Drosophila melanogaster: one gene and its partners. The gene in region 3 interacts genetically with the main gene of each other region. Each region holds a gene or a part of one and is shown on either strand. Other genes may lie near its edges. The genes, in order: Zip71B, ZnT63C, Zip89B and foi.

What was found.
Region 1: of Zip89B (region 3) and Zip71B, changing one enhances a phenotype caused by changing the other (phenotypic enhancement), as found in Drosophila melanogaster (one study listed by BioGRID).
Region 2: of Zip89B (region 3) and ZnT63C, changing one enhances a phenotype caused by changing the other (phenotypic enhancement), as found in Drosophila melanogaster (one study listed by BioGRID).
Region 4: of Zip89B (region 3) and foi, changing one enhances a phenotype caused by changing the other (phenotypic enhancement), as found in Drosophila melanogaster (one study listed by BioGRID).

What each region holds. Positions count from the first base shown.
Region 1 is NT_037436.4:14,990,487-14,998,328, reverse strand, and holds Zip71B (Zinc/iron regulated transporter-related protein 71B), read right to left. Parts: upstream 6,041-7,842; 5' UTR 5,858-6,040; coding exon 5,714-5,857; intron 3,747-5,713; coding exon 3,464-3,746; intron 2,184-3,463; coding exon 1,887-2,183; intron 1,830-1,886; coding exon 835-1,829; 3' UTR 346-834; downstream 1-345. Other genes in the region: mRpL39 (mitochondrial ribosomal protein L39), read left to right, coding at 1-149, 211-270; mnd (minidiscs), read right to left, coding at 7,113-7,499, 7,588-7,842.
Region 2 is NT_037436.4:3,302,037-3,306,742, reverse strand, and holds the start of ZnT63C (zinc transporter 63C), read right to left. Parts: upstream 3,036-4,706; 5' UTR 2,891-3,035; exon of another isoform or gene 2,470-2,890; intron 2,142-2,469; 5' UTR 2,078-2,141; intron 1-2,077.
Region 3 is NT_033777.3:16,303,937-16,309,241, forward strand, and holds Zip89B (Zinc/iron regulated transporter-related protein 89B), read left to right. Parts: upstream 1-1,821; 5' UTR 1,822-2,234; coding exon 2,235-3,462; intron 3,463-4,394; coding exon 4,395-4,654; 3' UTR 4,655-4,764; downstream 4,765-5,305.
Region 4 is NT_037436.4:8,523,250-8,528,275, forward strand, and holds the start of foi (fear-of-intimacy), read left to right. Parts: upstream 1-1,994; 5' UTR 1,995-2,455; intron 2,456-5,026. Other genes in the region: GstO2 (glutathione S transferase O2), read right to left, coding at 152-182; GstO1 (glutathione S transferase O1), read right to left, coding at 618-648, 704-825, 885-1,468, 1,526-1,553. UniProt on the Drosophila melanogaster protein: Required for the normal migration of longitudinal and peripheral glial cells. During larval development, required for the migration of the subretinal glia into the eye disk.

The DNA of each region.
Region 1 (7,842 bases), on a different chromosome or scaffold from region 3:
TGGGGAAATGCGTCATCTCGGCTGCCCACAAAGTTGCGGAGGAGGGTCCCTCTGGTGCTTTCTATCGCATTCAGGGCGTTGCACTGCCGTCTGGCTTCCAACTGAATCATGTTGCATTTGGTGTATTGGAGGAGCGTTCTAAGAAACCTGTGAGTATATCTCGACGTTTTTCGATAAAGAGCTGTGTCACAAATTTAAAACACATTTTAGAGCCCCGCACGACTGCCCAATGAACCATTTGAGGAACAACAACAACTGCAATTATCTTAAAACGTTCTTTAATATTTAAAACTATACTGTAAGTGTTAAAAAAGTAAATCATTAAAGAGCGTCCTAATTTGTTATAACAAAGAAAATCCGTCTTTAAAAGGATATGAGCAAACAAAATTCTGCTTTTACCATTTTAACTTACAAGCTAATTATCTTATGGAATGAAATTCTGGATAGCTCTTATTATTTATAGATTTAGCATTCGTAAGGCAGAATTTATATAAAAGAACACTTTGGTCTTATTTTACGATTTAATGATTCTATATTCTTTTAATTGCCAATGCTAGGGTTTCTCTTTTTTGCTCACAGTTCTTTTATTTTAATTGTCTCTTTAAAAACATTTATATTTTAATATTAAAGTTTCAATAACACTAAGGAAGGTGCTGTTTAAATCATACATAAAGCTGACCACAGACTAACATTTGGTAACGATTTCATCTCTAACAAGTAAGGCATGCTTAAAGAAGCAAGAGAATCAGAGATTCCACAGAAACATATTCTTAAACTACTATCTACAATAAGAAAACAAAATTAACAAAGCTGTTTGAGACTCAGAGCTATTCTTTAAAAGCTCTTGAACAGGCCCTCTAAATCGTGTTCATTGAGGGCAATAGCCAACATTATCAGTCCACCCAGAAGGATACCAAAAATTTGTATTATTATACCCTTTGGATCTTTGGCCTTTTCCGGATTGTGGGCCACACTCATTGTGGGCACCAGATCGGCAAAAGCAATATACAGGAAGGAACCAGCGGTGGCTGCATAAATCCATTGGGTCATGCCGTCTCCAATTCCAGCAATAAAGAGACCCACCGACATGCCCACAAAGCTAAGAACTGAGCTAACAATGTTCATATAGACGGCTCTTCGCATGGAGACACCTGTTTGCAGCAACAGAGCAAAGTCGCCCAGTTCGTGTGGCAACTCATGGCAGAGAACGGCAAAGGCGGTAGCAAATCCAGTGACCGGATCACTTGCGAAGGCTGCACCTATGGCCAGACCATCGGTCAGATTGTGCAAGCCATCTCCGATGATTACCATGAAGGCTACTGGGGTGAGCGGTCGATCGGGGGTCTTCTCATCCAGCTTGGCCTCCTGCAACATCACATTGAGCTCTCGAGGAGGTGGCAGATCAATAGCATCCTTTGCAGCTGGCTTCTCCATATGTCCATGACTGCGGCCGTGGCTGTGACCATGTCCGTGGCTATGTCCATGACCCGGCTTACCGCCCTTTAGCAGCGGAATCAGGTTCTCCAGCATATACATGAATAGAGCAGCCAGGAAAGTACAACCACATAGCAGAGCCGCCTCATTGCTATGTTTGTGATCAGATTCCAAGGGATTGATACCAGTGACTTCCTCCTCGTGCTTTTCCTCCTTGAAAAGGGCATGGGGGAGCAAGTGCATCAGGGCATCGCCAGCTAAAGTGCCCACAGCGATGGAAACTAGGAACTTGAGAATTTCCTGATAGGCAGCCGACTTCATCAAAGGAACCAGAAGAATGCCCAGCAATCCGCAAGCGGACAGTATAAGCATAGTGATGCTGGCATAGATCCAAGCTAAATCGATATAGGTAAGTTATCTTGTATAACAAAGTGTTAATTATAGATACCTACCGTACCATATCTTCTGGTTCTTATCGTTAAGGTTTACTGATCGTACAGCTGGTTGCTTGCAAACTCCATTATCGATCTGGGCTAATAGAGCTGGACAGAGTTTCATAAAAGCTCGCGGAGTGATCCGCACCGAGTTGATGAATTCGTTGTATTCCTCTTCAGAATTGTGGACGCCATCAGTTGAGCTAACGTCATTCTTAATGAGCAGCTTGCGGTAGGCAATGTTTTTGTGGAGATCGTTGTGGTTCACGATGAGGGAAAGTAAAGACTTCGGTGATAAGCAAGCGGCAACAGGTTCTGAAAATAAAAAGTGTAAAAGTAATGTAATTTTAAGAACCAGAGAAAATATTTCCTGTTTAAGGTAAAAGTCTAAGGAATAAGCACCTTGGGACTGCATTGAGTAATTCTTGTTGCATGTGAATTACTTGTGATTTCTGCAGTTTGCAATTTAATCTATACGTTATGCATTACTATATAGCGCTGGCTGGGTTCACATTATGAGCAGCAACTGTTTGTTCTAATTTAAACCTTTTAAGCACTTTGTTTATAATGCTAGGTATGGGGAATTTTCTTTTTCCCATGTTTACACTCATTCTATGGAAATAGCAAACGTATTTCTTCGACTCCGACACGTTGCCCTCTCTCAGCAGTCGATTGTTATCCAATTCGCATGTGCAAACTTGCCATTAATCCAGTCGGCTGTTTAGTGTTAACTTTATATGGGACAACGTTGTAATGATTGTGTGCACTTCAATTAAAACTGTAAGGCTTAGCCAACAAAAATAAATAACAAGCGAAGCGATTGAGGCCTGTTTGTTTCTCGTTTTGTATCTGTATCTGTATCTGAATCCGTTCAATTGTTGTTTTCTTTTGGATTTCCGCATCCATAATGCGTCCGTTTATCGTGCTATCGCCCTGTTTTCGTCGCCTGCTGACAATGATCTTTCCTACCTGTTGATTTACGGCTACATTTACGGCCCAAAAGGAGAAAGAAAAACGCATCTGATACTAAGTATATATACGCACATACATGGTAATGATAATTTATGCGACAAGGCCACGATCACAGACGGAACTTCCTATCAACCAAATGAGATGGGATGGAGGATGGGATGGCATAATTGAATTGATGATAGACCGCAGTCGCCGGTCGCCTTGCACTTGGAAATCGGCCAATTGATGGAAAGAGTCGAGTCAAGTCGAGGGCTTCATCTATTTATACTATATATATATACTATACTTCTGCCGGGCTCAATTTTGTATTGTGCCACAGGTGGCTGGTGTTTTATCATGTATATATGCTTGTTATTAACTGCCAGTCAAGTGAGCTTCAATCCGCGTATTTTTTGGAATTTCTCAGACCTGGTGGATTCTGGAGAACCGGAATAAGTGTTAAAACAAATTATCCTAAGATTTATGACCATGTTGTCTATCCTGGCGTAGCTTAGGTATTATCAGTCATAGCTGATGGTCGGCAAATACATACAGTAATACGGTTGGAAATAAAGTGCGAAATCCCCGACCATTAAGATAAGACTGGTGCACATCTTCATTAAATATTAAACGACGCCACTCACCAGAACTCTCCCTCGGATGTCGGTGCTTGGGGTCATGAATTTCTAGGAACTCCGGAACCTCGGCCTCCGACTGTGAATTTGAGTGATTGCCACGAGGAGAGATTTGCAGCTCCAAAGCTTCCTCATCGGTGGCATTGACTCGTGTCGGCTCAAAGTAATACGTTACATTTGTGGCATGCGGCATCTCGTTCGAGTATCCCTGAGGTCGATGCTGATCGATCGTGTGCGAGGGATCGAATTGGATTTGACCCAAGTTCAGGCTGAACATCAAATGCTCAAGACCCTGGAAAATATTTTAGTTCCTCATTTAATAGGCATTTAAAGCAGCATTACAGCATATTTAGAGAGCACTTAGACGTTATCTGGAAGTTTTCCAAGATACAAAACCAAAGTAAAACAAGTGTGATTAAGGCACACGTTATTGCAAGGCGCAAAATATAAGTAAACTATCTAATGATAAGGACAGATAGCATTATGCTTCAATAATTGTAGACAAACTATTTTCTTTTAACGATAATTAAGTATTTGATAATAGGTATTAAAATAACATTGGCAATGATAAATAGACTTACAAATATCTATGCACAAATTCTCAGAAAGTTTGATAATTCAATAGTTTTAGATAGTTGTGATTTCCCTAAACTATTTAAACAGTAAGTGCAACCTTGAAGTTTTAAAACCCATTTAAAAACAACAATTAATCTCGAAGTAGCTGGAGTAAACGCAACAAAACAACTGCCAGCTGTTTTGTTTTCGGTGAGCGTCCTGAAATCGTTTTTAAAAACAAACCTTAACCTGCTGCACATTTTTCACAGTAGCTATCCACGAAATTTCACGCCGACAAATCGATCGCATTTGCTATTTATTTAACTAATTTGTCAAAGTATATACTCTGGCTGCGATCTATCACCGATAATTACTTGATTTACTTGTCAACGTGCCAGGCAATTATATTTACATCTGAATTCATTTGTTTATTGTTATTCCTCCATTCTGTCGCATATTTGCTGTCGCTAAAGTGGGTGGAGATTCCCCGGGGCGGCGGTGGAGCCCCATCTAATTGCCTCGACAGCGACCTGTCGCCGGGGATCGGGGCGTGTGTCCGGCGTGTGATGAGTGGCTCCAAAGAATTGCCCAGATTCCCAAGATCAGGATGGCGGAATTTGCATATGAACAAACATTAGACACACACGCGCTGGCACACACAAAAAAAAAAAACTATTTATTATGTAGCTCATGAAGCCACCAAATGGCGAATTTTACTTTCATTCAGCTGAGATTTGTTTGTGTGCCAAGTGTGCTATATGTAATCAAATTTGGAATATTAGAATGATGATAGAATACGAGACGGTTGGGTGGGCATGGGACATGAGACATGGGGCATCGGGCATCCAACCCTTAATGTTAGTATGCCGAGTGCGTAAAAAGTAAAAACATTTTTAGTAGCGGCTTGCCATTCAAATGGACACACCGTATTGCGTAGCCCATACGCATGAGTAATGTCAATTGGCTCCGATTGTTCGGAATCGGACGGACTATAGCTTTGGAGTCCATAAGCATAACGATCGCGTTGCGAAAGTTGCGGTTGCTTTTGTATCTTTGGTTTATCGGGCATCCAGTGTGCGCCCATTAGGAGGAGGAGCAAGCAGTCTTATCGGGCTTATCATCTCGTAATCTCCGACGTGGATATAGAAGGATGTCTTGGGCGGGGGGTGGGTGTTGTTCGTCGTGTTGATGCTCAAGTCTCGTACTGTACATCTCACTGTGCCTGTGCTGCTCGTTAGTCTGGATTTTGATTAAATTTATGATAATGCCAGCAATAAAGTCTACGTTTTGTATCATACGAAGTGCCTGCTGTCTGCCCACTGTGTTATAAAATTGCTGCGCGCATATAAAGATTACAACCTTTTAAAAGTGACGCGATAATCGCTGTTGAGAGTGTTTTGGTTGCCCGATCAAGCCGAGTTGGCCAGAACACAATTGTTTCACTTTCACAATGCCCAAATATTTGATTAACTCGTAATCATATGAGAACACCCCCCCCCCTCCCACACATTGTTTTTGTTGCTGGCCCAAAAATGACAAAAACGAGAGAAAAAAAAGAAGACACAAACTCACTAATTTTTTGCCATAACGCTAACCGCAAAAGCTTTGTCCCGTGTCCGACTTTGTTTACCTGTGTTTACCTGTGCTCAAATTACGCTCTTGTGTGTGTTTACAAGGCTAGTTCGATGGTTTATTGGTTATTACCTCAAAGTTGATTGTCCCGCCGTTGCCGTATTTTTGAAATATCTGCGCCACGTATTTGTTGTATTCCGTGGAAGCTGGCACTGTTTTGAAAAATAGTGAGCCCAGGCAAAATAGGTTTAAGACTAGCACCTGCTTTTGGGCCATCGTAATGGACTGAACACTCAGGTGGTGGTAGATAGTATTTCTCTTTTCGTTTTATTCTATTCGTTTTATTGAACCCGGTTATCTACTGGTCACTCGTCATTTCACTGGGGGCTTCACCGGGATTTTTTCGAGTTTTTACAGACGCGTGCGATCCGTAACACTGCAGCCAACTACCGATCCCGTTCAACGGTCTTTTGAAATGACAGTTTCGCCCACGCAACGTTTTATACGACTTTCGGTTCGACGAGCGTCGGCGCGTTCTCCTTTCTCCCTCTCTCCTTCGCCCACTGGGCGGGCAACTCATCGCTCTGCGCACTCGCTACAAACTTAACTGTCATTTGGATTGAGCTTTGGAAAAGCTTTCGCCGGACCATCAAATTTGAGCGCCAAAAATTAATAAAGTCGATTAACCTGTTCATCGGCTAAACTCACATTAAATAGTGTACTCAGCCTTTAAATTGAAAATACTAAAGTTTTACACTTTCCTTTCATAATCTTAAGAATCTGGCTAAATGTTATTATTAAGCAACAATACTTTATACTAAAAACTATCCGGTAGATTGTAACTATGAAGAAAAAGATTGCATACCTAAAGGCGTTGTAAAGGCGCTTTCATCAAGTAGTGAGTTTTAGAACTCGCTGGAGTAGGAAAAATAACTAGAAAATGAAAATATTTAAAAAAATTAATAAATATTGTGGTAGATAATTATGATACTTTAAATAGATACCATGCGAAATGATATAAGTTACTTTTTTACCTTTAAAATGCCAATTTCCGCCCACTTCACAAAAAGTAATAAGATTAAAGTTTAATGTGTTTATTATTAACTTTCTTATACAAAACAAATTCGATTTTTTACATTTCGCAAAAAGTTGCATCAATAATAATTATTACTTACTGAATAAGCTCCTAATTACTTGTATAATATGTAAAAATTGGTTCGCATTTTGTATAACAGGCGTACTTCTGCTTTCGACGAGGAACTCATTTTTTTTGGGTTTGAAATATACATTAAAAGTACGACTAACAAATAATATTAATTGAAGCAGGGACTTCCCTACCAGAATGCATTTGAGTTATTTACAATAACACTTTTGTAATGTTGTGCGTAGGTTTTCAAAATTTCGCGTTGCTAACCTATCTTAGGGGTAAATTGAGACTTATCCTAACTACAAGATATTCCCTTCTATAGTTGCGTTGATCGATACATCCACAAAAGGCCCTCTCTTCCCAAAGTCGTAGAGTCCTGCAGTCCTAGTCGAACTTCTCCTGGTTGGGCATACAGATGAAGAATTTGGAGCACCACAGGTTGATCGCCTGCGAAGTGTCCGCCAGCCATTTGACCGGTTTGTGGATGGTCAGGTAGTAGACCGGAATTCCAGACAGTATAATGATCGTCCCGATTCCTACCACATATGGCGTCTGCGTGCAAGAGAAGATGACCAGGAACAGGCAGACGATCAGATAGATGATGGGCAGCGCCAAGTTGACCTTGATGGGTCGCTCCGTCTTGGGTTGCTTGTAGCGCATCCACAGCAGTCCGGATACCGAGATCAGCGTGAACAACGCCTCCACGTAGCTGACGTAGTTGATTAGTACGTAGACGTCCTCGATGAACAGCAGCAGCAAGGTGAGCACGCCCTGGGAAATTAAAAAAAGAAAAGAACATGATAATTTGATAAAAACAAATATTTATAGATTCTTTACTTAGGTTAAGCCTCTAACTTACCAGGAATATCAGCGAGGGCACAGGTGTCAGGCAATTAACGTTAATCAGCGAAATGGCGGCCGGCAGGTGACCATTCCTTGCACCGACGAAGAAAAGTCGCGAGGACGCGAAGATCGCTCCATTCAGCGAACCAAAAGTGGAGCAGGCCACAGCGAAGGGCATAATCCAGGACATATACCCCAGCATCTTGTCGCCAAACGTGACTGCCACTGCATCTGACGAAAGGATCTCGTCTGGCGAGAGAACCGAAAAGTA
Region 2 (4,706 bases), on a different chromosome or scaffold from region 3:
ATCGCTTATGCACAGAATGTTGTACAAAGTACTCGAAAGTGGGCATTTCGATAAGCCAAATTAGACGCACTGTTGATTTATTGATCGGCAATTTGTAGAAAGATTTATTAAGCAGGAATTAAAGTAATTTTAAGATTGGGTAAATCTTTTTGCTACGTAAGTGTGAAGTGCAGCACTGAAAACAATTTTAGCATTCTTATAGATTTTGCGATGTGAACGCTTTTGAATTTTATTATGTGAGTATTCCCATTTAATAGGTGCGTTTCACTCACATAAAGTTACGACATTTAAAACCAAAATGGCAATCAATTAATTATATTAATGGCAAAAATTGCAGTTGACCCACAAACGAAAAGAGTCATTTGTTCTCCACGGCGACAACGTGGCGACGATTAACCCGGTTCTTTTTCCCGACCTCCGGGAACGGAAGGCGGACGGAGGTGCTCTGGAAAAAGGGCGGCGCAGAGAAAGGCAAAGTAAGAGACGGAGCTGGGCGTTGGGTGGTCCAACCTGGTTGAGTTCCACGAGAACGGAGAACAGAGTGAAAAATATACAAAAGAATTTCATCAGGCTGGCAGAAAGGTGAATACTATATATGCATTTGCAAACATTGCATGGATGTGTCAGCTAAAAATATATCCACCTGAATTTCTCCAATTTGCATGAAGTGGCGTCGATAAACAAATAACAAAATCAAATTTCAATGGATACGGTACGGTGGATGCGGGAAACCCTTTTTCCTGCATAGCAAGTGAAAACCGTGTCAAGGTCACATGTACATGATTCTACTCTTGGAAAGCCAGCAGCTCAGGCAACTTTGAGATTAGAATATGGTATCGTTGGAGAAGCAGAATGTAGTAGTTATCTGGACCTAGGTTAACCTACTTTAGTTGCAGTCGTAAATCAAAGCCAGCTTGCATGGTGGTCGGAGCAAACATAACCCACTTTTGGCCCCATTTTCGGCTGCATTTCAGTTTTGGGCGGTAGTCAATGTGCTTACCCACAAATCAAATTGGCCAGTATCAAATATTAAATGCTGCTGCTCAAATATTCACCACTGAAACTGAACCAAATCAACTGAATAAATATGGTACATATTCGTATAGCTAAACAAATCAGAGCAGCGACGACGAGCTGTTCTGTGTGCTTTAATTTGTTTGCCACAAAATTATATTAGCACATATTGATTTTCCCCTCCTCCTCGATCTCACTCAATTTTCGCTGATGACTGACTGGGAGCCGAGAACAAAAAGAGTTGGAAAGTCACTTGGGTGAGTGCCTGACCTTTAAATCGAATTATTTCAGCCACACCGAGCAGGCATTTAAAGTGATTTAATTAGGCCCGGAATACAAGAGTTTTATGCAACAGTGAAAATCGCTGCAACATACAATATCTCAGAACCGATACAGAAAGAAAATCGAACATAATTTGCAAGACTTAATGAGGAAAAATAAACCTATATGGGAAGATTTAGAATCTATAAAATCTGAAAGATATTACGCTTTAACAAATAAAAACCTGCTATTTAATAGCTGTACTGCCTATTTGTTTTTCAAAAGTAATTTAAATAAAATAATTCAAACATAGCAAATTAGCCTTCATATTTATTTGGCTTGATAAGGAAAAAGATCGGGATTTCCACGCCAGAATTTAAACAACTGCTGTGAGTCAGAAAGAATTTCATATCAAATAACCAGCGAGAACCGATGATTAAGTCAAAACAACCGGTTTTCGAGGATGGGAAATCGCGGGAAGGGGCCATAAATCAAGTATAACAAGTCCTAGACGAAAGGAACTCAAAAGCAAGCGCAGATTAAGATCGATTGTTGAAATGCAGATATGCTCAGCTACTACCTGACCACGCCCACACCCGCCCAGTTCGGTGACCCACGTGCAACAATAACAGACATGCTGATGCAGGTCTCCTGCAGGCAAATCCCCTACGTAAGATAATGGATATCATTTCCGAGATTATGTTTAACTAAGAAAAGAGATATAACACTCTTACAATCTATTTTTTGAAGTTTCATTAAAAATTGATAATGAGGCTAAGAATAATAGGTGTATTTAACTTACCTTAGCTTTAAGTCTGGAAATCGGTTCTTTGGTTGTTAAGGTTCCTAAGCTCCAATTGAAGAGGCTAAATTCAAAATACACATAATTGAAAATTAATAAAAAACCAAATCCAGTGTATACGGAGAGTATAGGACTTTAATAATTATTTGACTGAATATATGTATACTTTATAAAACTTTCGCTGCACTGTTGATAAAAATAAAACACGATATCTTTACTATTTTCGCAATTAAAACAGGGAAAACGCTTAAAAATGTTTACAAATGTATAAGTCACTTTGGTTTGACGATTTAGATAAGTTGATAAGTTGACTTTTTATCAACCATACAAATGCAAATTAAGATTCTTTGTATTTCCCCTGTTTGTGGCTAGCCGATATTCACTGTATTAACAAGGACGCAAGTGGGAGCGGGGAGAGCGGTGCACGGGCAGTGTTGCTGTTGTTTTGCGATAAAAAGAGTGGAGAAAGAAAAGAAAATAACTTCCAATTTTCGCCGTTGTTGGCTTTGTTGCTGCAAGAGCAAAGTGTCGACTGAAAAGTTGGCAAAATAAAATAGTGAAAATAGCATGGGCATCTTGGATTTTGCAGAAATTCCTTTGCTTCTCCTTTTTCCGCCTCAATTGGGGGTGGCACGCATACATACAAACAGAGTGTGTACATACATACACGTATGTATGCAAGTTAATTGTGCACAGTCACAATGGTCGAAAGAGAAGAAAGGGTGCGGGTCGGGAAAATCGAGAACGATTCACAATTGCACGTGCACTGGTCGCGATTTCCGTATATCGCCTCACTACTCCGCCGTAAATTACCGATTGGGCTGCCTGCCTTCTTGGTTGCTTTTTGCCGCACTTGGAGCGGAGCGAACAGCACAGACACAGATGTACAGCGCGGGTCCACGAATTTTTAATAAATAATTATTTTCCCGACTCAGTGTGACTGCAGCCACAGTCATCGAAAATCCATCCGGGCAGTTGGAAAATACCAATAATATATCGATAATATTTGTGCAGCTCTATCGGGTTAACAATAATGACTATCGACCGTTACAAGCGGTCTTTCAAAAATAAGTTTGAAAACTAGTAAATGTAGTAGAAACCAAAATAGGAGCCAGTAATGTAATTGAAATAAAAAACTGGCAGGCTTTTGATACATTTTGTCACTTTTAATACGAAATATTTTTGTGAAGGGCTACTTTACAATAAATCTATTTTTTTAGGCGTTACATTTCAATATAATGTAGCTTAAACTCTTTGTTTAACGCAAAACTACCAACAACTGCGTTTAACCCCTTTTAACCAACAAAAAGCTCGATGGCACTCAAGCTCAAAGTTGGTTTGTGTATTGGATGGGAAAGGTAAATGACTTACTAGTGATGTCGTGCCTTTATAAGGAAATTATCTAAAAAATAAAATATTTTGGCAAAAAAAAAGAATATATATATTTTCAGGGCAAAAGTGAGTTGTTAGTAGAAACATCCAACTTTAAAATCTTTTTTGAAGATAATATTCATGGCTAAAGCGGCATCACTGACCACGATCATTGGGGATTTCGTTAGTAGCGCGTTTACCGGCCGAGGAAACAGGTGTACAAAGAAACAAAGCCATCATAAAATCGGTAATTCCAAAGTGACTACCCCCATAATCAATTCAGAAATCAGCGGAATTATATTGAGCACGTTTCAGCATTTAGTTTAACTCAAGACTTATTTCCATTTTTCGTCAAAAAGTCAATAAGACTTTTACCTATTTTACCTTTGCTGAATTCCCCGTGTGCGTGAAGTAGTGAGTGATAAGATTAGGCGAATGGGTAAATGTTCCCTACGTGATAACAGGCAATTGGAACTTGAAGAGAAAATAAAGTGAATAAAGTGTAAATAAAAGAAACCAAATTTAGTAAATTAGTCACTGTGAATGGAAGGGAGTTAGTACGAGCTCCACATACGCAAATCTATATGTGCGACAAATGACAGTCATCGGCAGTGCCCGTAAACAAATTATGATAAAAAAGATAAATCTATTATACGAACAGAGGAGATATGCTCATATGAGCAGCTTCCGGCTTTCGTACCGCTTAAACTGAAATGTCCAGTGGAAAATTATCTAAATTGGACTGCGAGTGCTACCGAACCTGTCTCTGATATTGTTATTGTTATGGTTGTTGGCATAATGATAGTGGCAATGATATGTAGGCATATTGTATGGGGAGAAAATATGTAAAACACATATAGTATATAGTATGCCGTACAGAATAAATTGCCATTTTCGAACAACTTCTAAAATGTAAAATTCGTTAATAACCCTAAAGTAAACAACGATAAGGAGAGTACAAAGGTGAGCGTAAGGCTGAGATTTATATGGCCATAGATTGGACTAGCGTGGCAAACGTTGTAATGTGGCTAAAACAGCGGGCTTCAAATTTGGTAATATATCAAAATTCGATAGCTGTGAACGTGATCTTCCTGAAAATCTGGATCAGGCAACTTGTAAATGGCGTTAGAACAAAAGATCAGATGAGCACACAATTAGTCGTGGGTTTTGTGTCTACAACACAGGCCATTGTCACTAGTTATCCGCTTGGGTCATTGGCATTAAAATGGTAGTCAAAGTAGAACAAAAAGCTAAAAAA
Region 3 (5,305 bases):
TAAACAAATTTTTTATACTTATTACAAATATACATATAACGAGGAAAACCAATATAGCATTAACTATACAAGGACAATGCAAATTTTTCGTGTTGTTTTGCAGTCTTTTAAGTATATAAAAGCAGGAAAAACATTGAAAACCAGTAAATCAAATTTCATAATTTACATGAATAACATTGCATAAACAATTAACCAAAATTTCCTGTATAGTTAAAAAACTCATTTGTATTATATATGAAATATTAAAGATACACAAACAAATTACGCTAAAATTAATATTTCTATGACGAAAATGGAATCCGGAGAACAAGAAAACCGCACTAGTTTATATAAAGTAAATTATAAAAAATATACATACATAATTGACTTTAAATGTTGAAAAACAAAACCAAAACCAAATGAAAAATAACCCATGCATTGATTAATGTATTCAAGAACGGAAATTTACATATTTACGACTCAAAAAGGACAGAGTGCGGAGCAGATCAAAGATAACAAAAAGCGTTTAATGGTTGGCAAGCAAGCAGTGCACGCAGGCCTTTTGCTATTTGCAGGTATAGCAGTTAACATTGTTAACTGCGGCAAAGCAGTTTTAACACTAAAGTAAAGCGAAACAATTTAATTATAATAGAGCTAAATAATAATAAAAAGAAAGCGAGCGAAGACGTACTCAGAAATATTTTCCAACAGGAATGTTGTAGGCATTATATCGTTTGCGAACGCGAATAAAGTAAAATAACAACAGAATTATTGTGTAAAAATGGTTTATTATTAATGTATAAGTATAACAGCAAACACAAATGGTAACTTAAAACAATGTAAGCAAACCAAGAAAAACAACCAACAAAAAAACGAAAAAAATATGAAAATTGAAAAAAACCAAGAAAAAATTAAAACCAAAATAAATGAAAAATTATTACAAAAAGCTTGTGTTTTTTTGGCCATATATGGAGCTGCTTTAGTAAATTGATACATTTTTTTGTTCAGCAAGTTACGATAAATAATAAGCTGTGCAACAAAAAAACAAAAGAATTAGACCAATTACGGTGGGCTTGATTATACTAATTAATAGATCATGGGTCTCTAACAGATATCTCACGATCTGTCCACGCTCCCATCTGGTTTTACCGACTCATTTCCCAAACACGACTAAATTGGTGTTTTGGAGGTATCCTTTGTTTCCGTTGTAACCGTTACACTTGATTTTAATTTCACAAATACCTATGTTACTATCTACAATACATCTTAATACAGTTGATACAAATGCTATTTTCAGTGCCCCGTTTACTCAAGTTGGAAAAAACTCTTTCTGCTATAGAGGTGGCAACCCTAAATAAGGCTTACATTGCAAACCGTTAGTTACATATGCTACCTACCAATTAGCCAGGACGCAAACCCAGACCGCAAAGCAGAGCTTTTGCTTCCGGCCATCTAAATAGCGCCAAAGTAAAAGTCGCGATCCTACATCTTGGCTAAGGTCAGGCGCCTTTTAATGCTGCCCAAAGTGAACGGATGCAATTACTCAATTACTCTGGCCTTTGTGCATTGTCTGTAGATGCCAATATGTGTATGTGTGTATATATATATTTATGCTGAGCCCAAGACAATTAGCGCTATTGCCAAATGAAACAGCGGCGCACAGGTGAACGTTCGCGAGTGGGAGAGCGAGCTTTAAAAGCAGTTTTCTTGCTACTTACCTGCTTAACTTGCTGCTCATGTCTGGTCTTCGTTAGTGGGAGAATCGGAAAGAGCGTTGAAGCATTGGAGCACGGGAGCGTAGAGCCCGCGCAAGATATTCAAGTGAATTACCAAATCCCGATTCCGTCAGTCTGCGAGGTCGCCTCAAGCGCTCAACACCTGTGCGCATCTAGAAAAAAAACAGAAACCTACCTAAATACCAATCCAACCCAATCAGTACTACCAATAAGGACAGGCTCTTAAATCAAACGAAGTGAAAGAAAAGTGACTGAAAAAGTGAAAAGCGGCATGCAAGTGCAGAAACCCAGCCCAACCAGATGAGCCCAACCCACAACCCAGTCGATTGAGATTCCAAACGCGACACATGCTGCTGGTGCTGGAATAACAGTTTTAGCCAAGAGAGCTGCTTGTTTTCGACCACAAGTGGTCAGAGAGGAGAGCCGGAGCCCGCAGTCTTTTAGCTGGTTCGGGAGATCTGTGGAAAACCAAACAAACCAAGTAAAATCGAAACAAAACAAACAGAAAACAAAAGCAACATGAATCAAACGCAAGTAAATAATTTCCTCAAGTGCTTCCTGCAAATCGATGAGCCGTCCAACCGTTGGACATCACGTCACGACGGGGAGGATCTCGATGATAACGACCATGATCATGATCATGACGACGACAACGACGACGACGAGAGTGGCGTTCTGGTTGCCAAGGTCACAGCCATGGTGGTGCTATTTTGCGCCAGCGCGATCTGCGGGTCCATTCCCTTCTTGCTTAACCGTTGCTATCGCTGGACGGAAAACCAGACGAACGCACGATCCGCCATTGTGGTCAAATGCCTGCTGTACTTTGGAGGCGGCGTCCTGCTAGCCACCACCTTTCTCCATCTCTTGCCCGAAGTTCAGGAGGTCGTCGAAGAGCTGCAGGAGTGCGGCATCATCGGAGAGCTCACTTTTCCGCTGGCCGAGCTTCTCATGTGCTGTGGCTTCTTCCTCATGTACTTCATCGAGGAGGCCATGCACACGTATGTCCATCATCATCAGAAGGATGAGGCTGGCGCCGCTTTCGAGCGGGGTCACAGCATCCGAAACAGCCACCTGCTGAAACCCACCGAAGGCAACGCTACCACACCCACAGCCCCACCGGCGCCATTGGCTGGCACCGCTGAACTTGGAACACTATCGGTGCAGAATCTCCTGCAAAACGATCTGGAGCAGCAAAAGTTTGCTACCAAGCCACAGCAACAAGCTAATGGACACGGACACAGCCACGGGCATGGACATGGACATAGCCATCTACCAGTAATCGCAGACGATGCCGATGCGGGGGACATGTTGGCTTCATCTCTGCGCGGACTCTTCATCGTTTCCGCTCTGTCGCTGCACGAACTCTTTGAGGGCATGGCCATTGGCCTAGAGAGCTCCGCCAGTTCGGTGTGGTTTATGTTCGGTGCCGTTTCCGCACACAAATTGGTCCTGGCCTTCTGCGTGGGCGTCGAGCTGATCGTGGCCAGGACCCGGATGTTACTGGCCGTTCTCTATGTGTTGACCTTTGCGGTGGTTAGCCCTCTGGGCATCGGAATCGGGATTTTGATAAATCACGGCGAAGAGACATCCGGACCCAGTCTGGTCTCCGCCATTCTGCAAGGATTCGCCTGCGGCACGCTCATATACGTGGTGTTCTTTGAGATACTCTCGAAAAATCGATCCGGTCTGCGCGCCTATTTGGCCCTCTTCGTCGGCTTCCTTGTCATGTTTGGCCTGCAGCAGTTGAGTAAGTATCACATTTAAATAATAATTACATGTTGTGGCCTTTGAATATGCAAATCGTAGGGATTTAGTGAGACAGAAATTTGCGATGTAAAATACAACTCGGTCTTGCCACTTAAGGCAGTTTTCAATTAATTATATATTGCTTTTTATTACGCAAATTTACATCAAATGATGATTAGTGTACATTTTGCTACTTAACCAGAAATATTGTTTTGTTAGTTTACTTACATTGATATCTATGAATTGCCTAGACACATTAGACCTTAGGGACTCCTGCTTTAATCATTTATCCTTTAATTGGTGATACTTAATAATAAGCAGGCTTAACGGTGATTAGTACGATCGTCGCCGTGTGCGTCAGATGAGATTCTTTAACCGGAATCGATTCGGGGAAATTGGGAACAGGTTCTATATAGCTGATCTGCTAAATGCTGCGTGGTTGACCTTGTAACAGACCTTGCTGTGATTTATTTTGCATACTCATATACAAGACGGCTTGTCAGTCTGTGTACCTAGAGTAAATGTGAAATAAAAATCCCGTCCCTGCCATGAAGTCATCTCGCAAAAATCAGGGGGTTGCCCATGCGAAAAAGCACCGTGAAAACCGCACTCGCAATTGTATTGATGAGCACGGGATAAAAAATCAGACGAGAAGTTTAGGCCACAAATATGTGATTACCCGAAAGTCGGTTAGGTTTTTATATGGTCTAGGGCCAGATAAGGCAGGACAAAACGCTCATAAATCATTGCGTGGAAGTGGGCTGTTGGAATTGAATTCCCATGCTACCATGACGAAAAAAATGTTAAGCAATCAAGAGAGAAGTGTGTAAATCACCATGAGGAAACAGGGTCTACCCGATAAGGATTGGCATTCCTAACAGCATACATTGTTCAACCCTATAACGTGTCACTAACCTTCCTTATCGCTTACAGCTTCCATTGGCGGACATGGTCATAGCCACAGCCACAGCAGTTGCTCCACGTCGGAACACACACACAACCACCAAGAGACTGAGACTGAGACCAGGTCAGCATCGGGCCACACCCATGGCCACCAGCACGACCATGATCATCCACATCACCACAACCACGCTGAGGAGCTGGCCACGGTTCACAACTATGAACAGCAGCTGCAGCTCTTGCGGCAGGTGACCCAAAAACTGCTTGAAGCCCACCCCAAGAAGGACGCCTAGATTGTACCCTGCTCAGCAGAATACTAATTGTATATGTATTTATGTGTATTATATATTTGTACTGTGTAAAAAATAGTGAAAGTAGAAACAAAATATATATTAAAAAACTGAAGCGATTAAATTCTGACATTAAATGCAATTGCTAAACTGGGTCAAAAAATAGTAAACGCTAAGAGAACTAGAACTCTTATCTATGCCCAGTATTTGTGGCCTTTACAGTCTTTTATGAGGTTACAGCCATTTATGACTTCTACAAAACATAAATTTAGAGAAACAAATAATTTATTTTTGTGAACTTATAGTTAAACACAGAAAAAGCAACAAGGAAAGTACATAAAATATTACAACATTCCCTAATGTTCAGGGAGCTTTTAAAATTTTTCTTCTTAAACAATAAAAACAATTAGTGATTCGACATTAGGTTTCATATTAACTGAAAATCAAATTTGCCCATATTCAGTGGTTAGCGGTTACGTACATATAACAAAGTGAAGATACTCGTTTTTAAGTGAATAGATCGGACATATCAGATTGAAAAAGTCATTAGCAAATCCGAATCGATTGATTAATGAAATATGTCAATAAAGCTAAGGTATGTTTAATTTCAAAATTTGGCTTAATAGTAACTTAATTAGATGAGTAAGCGGTTTA
Region 4 (5,026 bases), on a different chromosome or scaffold from region 3:
AGAAAGTTTTCCATTATGCTTTGGCTAAAATTAAAGCTCTATCTCTGCGTAATTTACGCCTCTCAAAGTGGGGTCTAGATAAAACTATGAAATCAATTGCCAACTTTTGCAGCGTCACTATCCCGATGACCTTGAAGTGCCCCCAACTCACCCCTCTTGAAGTGCTTTTGCGGCAGGGCCATTTTGTTAACAATTTTAAAATAATTCCCAAGACGTGAAATGTTGGTGGCAAAGTAGTTCCGATCGACTGACAACAAATAGAGGGATTCCGGTACCTTATAAAGTGGTCGCAGTCGCCGGACGAGTGAATTTATCGAATATATTTCGATTGTTGAGCGGGTGAATTTAAAATTCTTAAGCTCATATTTAAGAAAATTGTTTGACCACATATTAAAGACTACAAACGACTACTCTAAGATAAGTATTTTCATATCCATTTATCATTCATACCTTCATTAATCTAATTCTAAAACAAACGTACTTACAACCCGTATAAACAATGAAAATGCAAAGATTTATTTTTCAATCACAATAATGCTGCCGTAGTAGGTACATGTGTTACATGTTATATGTGCAAAAGGTACAATGCTGAAGTGGAAACGCCATCATCCCGTAGACTACCCCAATTTGACACGTTTGGCCTCATTGCTAGAAACGAGAAATGGATCAGTCACACATTATATGTATAATCTTCAAATCTTACTATAGCATATTATAATCGGCCTGGCCCGATCGCCGGGAGTTCATGTATTTGGCATGGGTCTGTCCATCCAGATAGAAACACTTGACAGCACGATCCTGGATCATCAAGTCGCGCCACTTAATCTGCAGTAGAACAATCTCGGTAATTTAAAAGACATAATTAGAAAACCAATAGGACCCACCAAAGTGGGAAAACGTTCCGGACTCAATTCGAATTTTTGTTCAAAAGTGTATTTCAGAGAGTCAAAGCGCTCGCACCAGGGCCACATCATGTAGTCAAGCATGCCTGGGCTGTCGCCACCAAAGAACTTGGTACAACGTCGCTTCAGTTCCTCCTCATAAACGACCAATCCGGCATAGTGATCGGTGTCAACCAGCTGCTCGGGATTGTCGTGCAGCAACAGGTAGTAGAAGGCATTGATGAACTGTCCGAAACGTTCGATTAAAATCTTCTCCTGGGCTTTTTTAAGCAGATCCTTGGGATACAATGGCACCTCCGGATACTTTTCGTCCAAGTAGTCACAAATAATGAGCGACTCGATCAGCACAGGATTTCCCTGTTCCTTGACCAGCTCCAGTGCCGGCACCTTTGTGGAGCTGCTCACCAGGGAGAACCACTCGGGTTTGTCGCGAAGATTGATGTAGATAGCGTGGTAGGGAATCTTTTTGGCATCCAGGACCAGGTGCACACGGTGTGCATAGGGGCAAAAGCGCATCGAATACAGCTTTAAGATCCCATCATCCGGAAATACGGGCTTTGGCGAGCCTGCAATATATATGCGCCTTTTAAATGTGAATTTGGAACTTAGTAACTTATACTAACCAATAGTTAAGTGCTGAGTATTGCTCATATTGGCAATACAATTTTTTCTGGAAAGGAACACAACCTGTTTTGCGGGTTATGACAATTATCGATATTTGACAGTAAACGTTAAGGTGGCTCGATAACGTATTGTCTTTTTACAGGATTGATGTATTTTTAATCAATTATTATTTAATCGGTTTAAAAAAATCTATCTTAATCTTAAATATTAATTTTTACAACTTTAATTTTTTTAAATATAATTCAGTCATCTATTCATCTATTATTTAGGACTTTAATTTCAATAATTTATGGTTATATATCCATAATAGACTATTTGCATCACTGCTCCAAATACATATTGTATATACATAATTAATCTAAAATCAATTTATATTTATCGTTTTTAATATTTGCTGCAAGAGGTTACATTGATCGCCATCGATGTGTAGCGTTGATAGCAACGGAACACCGATACCTATCGCGGATGATTCGGTGTTTTTCCACATCCCTACCGCCTATCGATAATTGTTATAACAAAATTGTTTTAGTTGCGGATTTCTTGTGTTTGGCGGTGTGAGCGAAAGAGAGATGGCTGCTGCGGCATATGTTTAGCGTGTCCGGAAAATGTTTACAGTAAGCTCGCCCTTGCGTAACTGAGCCCGTGTTGGTGTTGGTGGCCGCATCCCGTACTCCGTATCCCGTGCAAATCTCGCCGCTCCATGCGGACTCGCTTCGATTCGATTTCCCGTGCCAAACCGAGATTATTGCAACGTAATTGACACTCGGCGTAATCTCTACGGCCTCTTTCATTCACGCCCACCGCATCGGCAAAAGCTATAGCTCCCAGAATCGTCCAGCATTATCTTCGATCCCGCAATAACTCTAGTGGGAATTGTGTGAGTGTGTGTTACAGTGTGCGATGTGCTAAACAGTCCGGCAAATTTACGGGTGAGTTAGTAGTGGGCTTGCATTAATTATTCGCCTTTGTTTAATCTTGGCATAAGTTCGTTCAGAATGGAAAGTGCATGCGACGCGCCCCCATTCCACCTCCCACCGCCCAAAATCCACCCACCACCACCCACTCGTATTTATTTATAGCGGGACATTTCCATGTGCGTGTGATTTTGACACCCGCTCACTTACATCCATATGTATTTGTTGTACACACACATACGCAGATGCACACGTAACTACACTGATATTCAGCACGTTTTTATGCTATTTTCGATCGACATCATCAATGTGTTCTATACATAATTCAGCGCAATTCTGATACCATTTCCATGCTCGCTATCTTCAGAGCCTAATTACGCAAAATCAATGGAATTAGTGTTATCAAACGGGCCAGAATGCTTATCATCCACTGGCGGGGCTAGATAAGATTTCAAGGGGGAAGACAACGTGGATGAGTCTTCACATCGCGTATGCTTTATCTCTAGCATTCTCTCTATTTAAATCAATAGACTTATCCAAACGATCATAGTTACAATTACAATCCACGTGTTCGACGTACACAGCTTACATTTTGCGTAAATAAATACTCTTATCACCTTACACATAACGTCATTAGATTTTATATTTGTATTGCGCATTGAGGGATATGAAATATTTAAGTTGTATTCCGGATGCGTAACCCCCTTTGGAAGCCGTCACTGTTATCGCCACTGACCCATATATCAACATGTGTTCCTTTCGCACTTTTGGCTGCCTTCCACATAGTTCTGTTGTTTTTGTCTTTTTTTTTTTAGAAGTGTAGGTGGTGCATGAATCATAGATAGTGGTGCCGGTGGTGGCCAAAAGGGAAGCATCCTTATCGGGCGCGAACTTTTCCATTTCTCCGCCAAACGCCCGCCGCCAATCAATTATTCATGAGCCAGCGTAATTTGCAAAAATTGATATGTATATTTGCAAATAAAAAAAAATGCAATATCAGCTATGAATGCCTTGCAACCAGGCGCCAACAACTGAGGCAGCCAACCATTTCAGCAACCAACAACTCAATACGGAAAACAAACGTTTCTCGGCGATCCACGATCATTTCGATGCCCCCAGATGAATTATTTATCGCATATGGCCAGCCCTTCAACATCAGTTATGTGTCACTTGGTGGGTCGTACTAGCTGAATACTAAACCGGCCAGCCAGCCAGCGTACATAGTATGTAATTCAGCAGACGGCGAGCATGGCAAGGTCAGAGCCTCGTTCCGTACGGATTTGATCCAATCGGATTGGATCCGTAGCTGTCCATTCGGATTCCGAGACCGAGTCCGAATCTGAATCCGACGTGATTGACCTCAGCTTAGTCTAGTTGTGTGTACTTGGCTTCTACCCATCCAGAACTTCAGTTCCATGTGGCCATCACATGACGCGAGGTTTTTCATATCTTCCTAAACACACTGCTGAAATTTCACATCAAGCTTTGGCTTATGAAAAGGTAGAAACCAAAAAACAAAAAAAAAAAAAGATAATGCCCAAATTTGTGTGTGTATGTATGTGCTTGGATTCTTGGGTACACCTTTTCGCAGGTTATTTCGCTGAAGTTTCAGGTATGAATTTCGTGTTTGTGTTGCGGCCAAGATAAAAGATAAATTGCTCAGCAGGTAGAGAGACGATCTGGAGATGTAGATGTACGGTGGAAATTTCAGGCTAAACAAACTGTAGATTGTGCATAGTAGTTGTTCATAAATCTTGCGAGGAGTTCTACGAGTACGTTTCTAGATTTAATTTCGCAGTTTAAGGTTGTGACATGTATAAAACGAGATATTATGCAGTGTCAGGGGCCTAAAAACGTGGAGATACCATGTATGTACATATCATGTGAAATTTACTCATCAAGTTTTATCTATTGAACTTTGAGCGATCGCGTGTTCAATTTTAGGCTTTTTGTGCGGATGTCATGCGAAATTTGATTGTGCGATCGAAGCATAAAATGTGGAATGGGTTCCAGGAATTTTGAGTATATGAAATTGAGATTTAATGTGAAATTTCATGATGTTGACTCATCGAAAAGTAATCAGAACGTTTTGGAATTTCACAATTTGCGAAATGAGACCCACCCTTATCCTGAAATTTCAGCATGGAGATCTTTTGCGATGCCAAACGAATTTATGTGGAGGTTCTATGTATATGAAATTCATTTATGCTGACTCAGCTGCATAAGCTTTCCGCATCTAAAAAGGGTTACTCTGCGGAAATTTAATCCGTATGGGACAGCACTATTCGTTGGAGATATCATGCGAAATTTTGGTGTACACATGGAATTCAGAGAGCAGCGAGTTCAGTGACTTGCCGACTATACAATTACCACGAGAATTCGGAAAAAACAGACGCGTGCGATTTTCGATATGGAGATGTTATGCGAACTAAAGTCGATTCAGCAAATCTAATCGTACGTTTTTGGTACAGTAGCCTCTCGATATGTACGATTTTAAAGTGCAATTTTAAACAATAAAAACAAAGCAGTTTTTCCTAAAGTTTATTTATTTATTTATATTGAAAAAATAGTAAGTAAATTTAATAG